2 linked regions of the Sus scrofa genome follow. The protein of the gene in region 1 purifies or fractionates together with the protein of each later gene. This does not show direct contact. Links are inferred from orthologs where the notes say so. Each region holds a gene or a part of one and is shown in the gene's direction. Other genes may lie near its edges. The genes, in order: RHEB and RPTOR.

The links.
Region 2: the proteins of RHEB (region 1) and RPTOR purify together in Homo sapiens (affinity purification with western blotting, with the first as the bait; 3 studies listed by BioGRID). This does not show direct contact. The link is inferred for Sus scrofa from reciprocal best matches to the Homo sapiens genes RHEB and RPTOR.

The regions. Positions count from the first base shown.
Region 1 is NC_010460.4:5,778,476-5,782,356, forward strand, and holds the start of RHEB (GTP-binding protein Rheb), read left to right. Parts: upstream 1-963; coding exon 964-1,015; intron 1,016-3,881. UniProt on the Homo sapiens protein: Small GTPase that acts as an allosteric activator of the canonical mTORC1 complex, an evolutionarily conserved central nutrient sensor that stimulates anabolic reactions and macromolecule biosynthesis to promote cellular biomass generation and growth.
Region 2 is NC_010454.4:1,733,047-1,736,848, reverse strand, and holds part of RPTOR (regulatory-associated protein of mTOR), read left to right. Parts: intron 1-1,351; coding exon 1,352-1,455; intron 1,456-2,004; coding exon 2,005-2,188; intron 2,189-3,045; coding exon 3,046-3,156; intron 3,157-3,802. UniProt on the Homo sapiens protein: Component of the mechanistic target of rapamycin complex 1 (mTORC1), an evolutionarily conserved central nutrient sensor that stimulates anabolic reactions and macromolecule biosynthesis to promote cellular biomass generation and growth.

The DNA.
Region 1 (3,881 bases):
GTGGCGCACACTTTTTTTTAAAAATGCGTATTTTGAATTACTGCGTTCCAGTCTTCCCACAGGCCTTCATCCATAGATGATACTAAGTCACAACCTACACCCTCAAACTTAGACTGACACCAATATAGCAAAGGGCTAAAAAGAAAAAAACTTCACGCAAGGTAACAACCGCAGCGAGCAACCGCCAAGCGACCTGCGCCTCGCGCCTTTTAAGGGCTCTGCGAGCGCGAGTCCATCAACCGCTCAGCGTTCTACCAATCACCTCACCTCTCAATCTTTCCCCGCCCCTTCCCCCGATCTAACCAATCACTAGGAAGCTGGCGTCCCTCCGCCCCTCCCACCCGCCTCCAGACGTTCGAAGCCTGCAAAGCTCACTAACGCCCAAACGCGGGCTGAGCGTCGGAATTTATTTTTAGCTCCCGGGCAAGCAGCCCCGCCTCTGGCTCCGCCTCTTCACCGCCCCCAATGGGAGAAGGAGTTTCCGCCGCGTCATCGCGCGGGCGGGTGGGAACTGTCCAATCAGCGCTCGGGGAAAACTGGCGTAATTAAAAAGCGGCGGAAGCCGGTGGGAGGGTCATGACGCAGCGAGTTTCAGTCGTGACTTTTCTAGGGGCATTTCGGCGTCTCCTGTTTTTCCCTTTAAAGTAAAACGCCTGCCCGGCGCACCCCTGTGCGTCTCGGGGACGGGGGCGGCCGCAGCGGCGGAAGGGCGACGCTGACGCGAGCCGCTGCAGGGGGGCGGCCCCGGCGGCCGCGCGCGGTCACGTGGGCGTGTTTGGGGGCGGGGCCGCGCGGCGGTTCCGGGCGGTTGAGCGCGCGAGCCAGGAGCCAAGGCAGCCGCGCCCGCCCGCCCCGCCCCTGGATGCCGCTCTGCCCCGGCGCGGCAGCCGCCGATCGCAGCACAGGAGCCGCCGCCGCCGCCGCGGTTGATGTGGTTGGCCCGGGGCTTGTGAGGCCGCCAAGATGCCGCAGTCCAAGTCCCGGAAGATCGCGATCCTGGGCTACCGGTCTGTGGGTGAGTGGCGGGCGCCGCGCGGCCTCCTCGAGCCAGGGCCCGGCCTCGCCTGGGGGCCGGGACGCGGCGGGCCGGGCCAAGTTTGGGGCCGGCGCGGCCATGTGGCGGCCGCGCGTTTCGTAACCAGCGGTCCGCCGCCGCCACCTCCATTTTGAGCGGAGGCGGCGGCGAGGCCGGGCCCGTGGGGCGGCGGGCGGCCCGGGAGCGGGGAGGACGTGTCTGGGAGGCCTCGGGCGGACGGGGAGTTCCGGCGGTCCCGCGCCGGGCACGCGGTGCGGGGTCTACCGCTCTGCCAAACTGCCGCGAGGCCCCCCAAAGGCAGAAGTCGCACCTGTCCCTCTTCACCTCGCCGCGGCGAGCTGTCGTGATCGTTGCTGGCCTTTGCACCCCCCAAATTCAAGTCCGTGGGGTTTTAACAAAGGAAACTGTGCCTTGGGGTTTTTTTCCTATGCGTGAAGTTCAACGTTTTAAAGGAAACTGGGGACCTAGAGGACGTTTGGCTACAGAGGGCAAGTTTCCTACGAAAGAAACCCAAGAGCCCTCTTCGGAAGCCTCCTGGATGCTGCCAGCGGCCGAAGTAGAAAAGCAGGGAAAGAGAAATTTCTGCTTTCTCGGTGTCCTATTTTTCTACGGGAAAAAATAAGGTCAGGTACTTGTAACCAGGCTGGTGAAGTGATTCAAAAGTTACCCCCCCACCCCGCCGCCGCCGCCACTGAACAAGATTGACATATATCTGTAACTGTTCCTGACAGTAGCTTTTTAGCCTAACGGAGGTGGTCTGGGGTGGGATGGGGGTAGACCGGGTGCCAGAAAACGAGAAAACAGCCGTTGACCTAACCATGCTTTAGGGTGAGGCTTTATTGTCTTTGACAACCGGAAGCCTGGAGAAATTACGATTATCTTTTCGTGTTGTTTTTAAGAACTGTTTAAGGGAAATGTGCACTTGACCGCGGGGTGGGGGGGCGGCTGCCGGGTGAAAGCGGGTGTTTGGAGTCTGTGGTGATTGCAGAAGGAGGTAACGGTAACTGCCCTAGGAACGCTTTTCACCGCCAACTCCCCGACCTCGCTTTCTGTTCTGCTTCTTCACCCCCATTTTCCACGGCCGGTGCCAGGGTCTATGCTCTTTGACCAACATCAGCTACAGCGTGCTTACTCATCCTTTTATCATCCCTCTCCGGTCAAAGGGGTGGGGGTGGGGGGAATCAGGGGCTGAGAGGTGCTTGTGTAGTGAGAAGGGGCGCCCAGAGTCATAGGGGTAACTCTGGTACGGTGCAGTGCCAGATGTGTGGAGAAGAGTAGGTGGCAGCCGTAACAGCTGCAGCTGGGAAGTACCGTGTATCAAATTGAGGCTTTCAAAGTCTACACAGCCCCAAGTGCCCATGTGGAACCTGGCATCCAACCTCTGTTGGCAGCTTAAATCACCTAGCCCTGGCTTGTCCGTGGTCTTTAGTTCCTCCCCTGGCTTGTGAAGAGAGGGGGGACCGTGACATATCCTGGCTCTTGAGTGAGTTCTAGCTAATCAGATACATAGCGCCCACTAATTAAAGGTAGCAGTTACAGGTGACTTGAACCCGAATAATCAAGTTACAGGTGATAAGTACCTGGGCTCCCTGATTTCAGCGGAAGAGAGATTCTTGGTGGTGGTTCTGTTCTTCAGTGAATAAGCCTCGCATTTGCTCTCACTGTTTTGCTAAAGAAGTTCCTCGTATCCAACTAAAACCTGTTCTTTTTGTATCTTCCTTCTAGCCGTCATCCTCTTAGAGACCCAGATGAGACAGGTCACCCCTTTGTCTTCTCTTTTCAACTGCTGTTAGTTAAAGTATTGTACTAAAGCAGCCTCCAGTGGGGTGCAAGGTATATTTGGTCCCTATTTTTTGTGCCTTCAATATGTTATACTGCTTGTAGCCCACTCAGTTGTCTCCATATTTGTTTTCACATGGGGTGATGATTAAAGTGAAATGTATTTTAGAAGTTCCCCTGTAGGTCAGTGGGTTAAGAACCCGACCAGTATCCATAAGGACGCGGTTTCTATCCCTGGCCTCGCCCAGTGGGTTAAGATCTGGCGTGGTTGTGGCGTTGTGGCATAGGCCGGCAGCTGCAGCTCCACATTCAGCCCCTTGTCTGGGAACTTCCATATGGTGAGGGTGCAGCCCTAAGAAGGGGAAAGGAAAAAATAAGTAAAGCGAAACGTATTTTGCAGAGGTTAAATTATTCCCAATCTTTGCCTTTGCTTTTGCATTTGATCACCTTTGTTGTGAACCAGGACATTTGTAGCTTGTGGGGTCTTTTGTTTTGCCAGCGTCAAAAAGGGAAGTAATCCCCTGATTGCATGTACTAATAACCACTCTCCAGAGAATGAGTCAGTATTCAGACTTAGCAGTTTGGTGACACGTTTGCTTGCAAATGGTGCTGTACTGGAGAAATTTGAGTATGTGTATTTCTCGGTTGTGTTATTTTGTAATGCTAAGCTGTCGTGTCATATTGACTAAGGGTAAAGAGTGGCAGGAAAAGGCTAAGCTAGAAACCACACCTTTCTTAGAATGTTCGCTTGATTAAACGTGCCAGTTTGACTAGTAGAATACTTCTCATTGTGACATTGTCATGTCATAAACTTTATTTTAAAAGTTTGCTGTCAGGGGAGTTCCTGTCGTGATTCAACGGTTTTCGAATCTGACTAGCATCCATGAGGACGCAGGTTCGATCCCTGGCCTTGCCCCATGGGTTAAGGATCCAGCATTGCCGAGAGCTGTGGTATAGGTCACAGCTGTGGCTTGGATCTCAAGTTGCTGTGGCTGTTGTGTAGGCCAGCAACTATAGCTCTGATTCAACCCCTATCCTGGGAACTTCCATATACTATGGGTTCAGG
Region 2 (3,802 bases), on another chromosome or scaffold:
CGAATCGGAGCTGTAGCTGCCAGCCCACACCACAGCCACGGCAACGTGGGATCCAAGCTGAGTCTGCAACCTACACCACAGCTCACAGCAACGCCAGATCCTTAACCCACTGAGGGAGGCCAGGGATTGAACCTGCGCCCTCATGGTTCCTCGTCGGATTCCTTCCCGCTGTGCCACAACGGGAACTCCTATGGTTTTCTCTCTGAACGTAGGCACAGCGTCCCTAACTGCGGAGCAGTTAGTCCAGAGAGGCAGGGTGCTCTGTACGTAGCCAGTCCGAGGGCCCCTGGAGCGTCACCCCTCGGAGGTCCAGGCGCCACCCTTCTCTCGGGGGTCACCCCGCCTTTGAGGCACCAGCCACCCTAACGGGCCTGCTCCAGGTTTCTTCCCACCAGAGAGGTGGCCCCGCCATAGCGCCAGCCCTTTCTGACTGCTCACCCTGGCTGTCCAGAGCCAGCAGGCCCGTCCGCGTCCCGGAAGGAACTTGGCCCCGGGGATCACCAGCAGCTGAGCAGTGACACGCTTGCTTAACGTTTCCTCCTCCCTGCTTTTTTATTTGTGTTTGTATTTTTTGTCTTTTTGTCTTTTGAGGGCCGCACCCACGGCATATGGAGGTTCCCAGGCTAGGGGTCTAATCACAGCTACAGCTGCCTGAGCCACAGCCACACCAGACCCGAGCCTCGTCTGCGACCCACACCACAGCTCACAGCAAGAGGATCCTTAACCCACTAAGTGAGCCCGGGGACCAAACCCACAGCCTCATGGTTCCTCGTCGGATTCGTTAACCACGGAGCCACGCCGGGAGCTCCCTCCCCTTCTCTGTTTTAAAAACTCACAACAAAGCCACTCCATCCTAGAGGGCGTCTCAGGCTGGTGCAGACCCTCCCTGGGGGACGGTCAGGCCTGAGCAGGACCCCGGGAGGAAGGGCCCGGACGGAACTTGTTTCCAGCCTGCCCCAAAATGCAGCACAGCAGCCAGGGCCCGGAGGGGGGGCCTCCTCCCCACCTCGGACCCCACTCCCCACCTCAGACCCCACTCCCCACCTCGGACCCCACTCCCCACCTCGGACCCCACTCCCCACCTCGGACCCCACTCCCCGTGAGTCCCGGCTCAGCTCTGTGACAGCGTTTCAAGGGCCTGTCCCTGGAGCCTCACTGGACCAGGCGAATACCTTCCAGAAAAGGAGGCCTCACTGTCTGCAGGGCGACTGCAGCGGTGGCGGTGCCGCGTCCTCGCCCACAGGCCTTTTCTGCCTCCTGGAAGCCGCACAAAGCAGCTCCCGCCTGGACTTGTGTCGTGCCCCGGCGGCATCACCGCGACTGCCAGCTGACTTGCCCCTTTGCCCCCCAGGCCACAATGAACGCCCGGCCCCAGCGCATCCTCACCGCCTCCTCGCTCACGCAGTCGGCACCCGCCAGCCCCACCAACAAGGGCATCCACATCCACCAGGCGGGGTAAGTGGGGCGGCCTGCTCCGGGCCTGGGAGGCTCACGGACGCCCCTCCCTCGTGCCCCCGCTCCAGCCCGCAGACGCTCCCCCACATCTGAGCCGCTTCCCAGGGCCCTCTCCTACCTTCGTCTGCAGCGCTGCGAGCAGAACCTGACCCCCCCATCCCCGTGGGTGCCAGCCGGTGGCACCCTCCTCTTAATCAGGGTCCACATGGCCGAGCACTGAGTCCCGGGGGCAGACGTGCCCGCACCCTGCCTGAGCGCCCGGCCGACTCGCAGTCCTGGCCGAGCTGGCCCCCCGCCTGCGCAGTTTTCAGGGGAGACGGTCCTTAGAACCTCTCCCCAGGCAGAAGCTAGAAGGGCCGTTAACTCAGCGTCGGCAGCTGGGCTTTGGCCGTCACGGCAGCACTGGGCAACTGAGGACGTTCCAAGCTGATGGCACTGGGCCGTGGGCAGGATCTGGGGATGGGGGCACTACCAGCAGAGGTTGCTTAGGGGTTCGTTTCAAAGGGACGGGCTCTGGGTGAAACAGCGTTTCTCCTTCCCCGACGGCAGAGGCTCCCCGCCGACGTCCAGCACCAGCAGCTCCAGCCTGACCAACGACGTGGCCAAGCAGCCGGTCAGCCGAGACCTGCCGCCAGGCCGGCCGGGCGCCGCGGGCCCTGTGGGGGTGCAGTACACGCCCCACTCCCACCAGTTCCCCCGCACACGCAAGATGTTCGACAAGGGCCCGGACCAGGTACGGATGCTCACGGCTCGGGCGCTGCGGGCCCTCCTCGGAGCCCGGCTGCCCCCTTGTCCTGGCTTCGCTCGTCCTGGCAGCTCCCAGGTGGCAGCGCGTGGAGCCTTTCCCTTCCCGGTGAACAGCGTCAGCCTCCACCCCGCGTGGCGGCCCCTCCGCGGAAGCGTCCGTGCTGACGGTGCTTTGCTTTTTCCATCAACGCCGAGCACGCCTCTCAGGCCGCGCGGCTCTGCCCCTGAGCTGACCCAGACGTTTCGGGAAGGGGAGGAGCTGGCACCGTGTCGGGGCTCTGAGAAGCCCTAACAGGGTGGGCACCGCCGTCCAGCCAGGCGCCGTCTAGAGAGGGCGTCCTGGACGTGCGGGGATGACTCAGCTCGCCAGGGACCAGCGTGTGTCGCGGCTGCCTGGAGCTGGAAGCGGGCGTTGAGGGCGGACAGGTGACCACACCTGCTGCTGGCCCCGCCCACCCGGCATCTGTGGGATTTTCCGCGGAGGGAGCCTCCCCGGGTGGGGGCTCCTCTGTGAGGCGCTTCCCGTGCCGGCCACGAGCGGGGCAGGCAGGCTCGGTGCGTGTGTGACCGGCCTGGTCGGCGCAGAGGCCGCAGGACCAGGTAGCAGAGGCCTTGTGGGGGTGCTTCCCAGCCACCTCGGCCAGCCCCCGGGAGGCTCGGGCTCTGACGGTCGGGGTTCCCTGGTCACCAGAGCCACAGGTGAGGGAGCATGGAGTTGTCCCAGAGGCCCGAGCCCCCAGCCGCCTTGCTTCCGGGGACGGCCACTCCACAGCTCGCGAGGAGGCCCGGGACGCGGTGGCTGACTCTGCTCTGTGCTCTCTCCCCCTTTCCAAACGCCTGAAGACTGCCGACGACCCGGACGACACTGCGGGGCACAAGAGCTTCATCTCGGCCACGATGCAGACGGGCTTCTGCGACTGGAGCGCGCGGTACTTTGCCCAGCCCGTCATGAAGGTAGTGTGTGGCGGCTCCCGGGCCCCGCCGGCCCGCTCGCGGCGACCCTCGGGCCCCACGAGCCAGGGGGCGGCTCCGGGGCTGCACGGGGCCTGCTGTGCCAGCCGGCCTCCTGGCCCCCCCACTGCACTGCCGTCGGGTGGCTGGCATTACCACTTAGAAAAGCACTGCCTTGGCCTTCCTGCCGACTCTAAACAAGTCTGCCTTTCCCGAGCTTGCCACCGTGACGTGTGCCCTTTGGTCTTGATTGGCAAGGTCATCCGTGCCGTCCCCAGGCCTCGGGGGCTGCTCCCCACTGCGGGCCTGTCGGACGAAGCTGGCTGGCCTTCGGAAAGACCCGTCCGGGGCCTGGGGTTCACCTGCCTTCCAGCTTTGACCCTGCGAGGTCATGACGTGGTGTGTGTCCTGTTGCCGCAGAGGCGCAGGCCGCTCGTTCAGGGCGACAGGTGGGACAGGGCACGCGGTAGGGGCAGAATCCCTCATGCCCGTCCCTGTGCAGGGCGCGCTGTCAGGCTTAGTTGTCGTCTTTCCTGGCCAAGTCACCTTCTGCCAAAGCTGCTTCCTCTTCCCGCGAGGGAGGGAGAACTGGCAACTGCAGCTTTTTCTTACTGGCCTCTCAGACCACACACGCCGGTAATTTCCACGG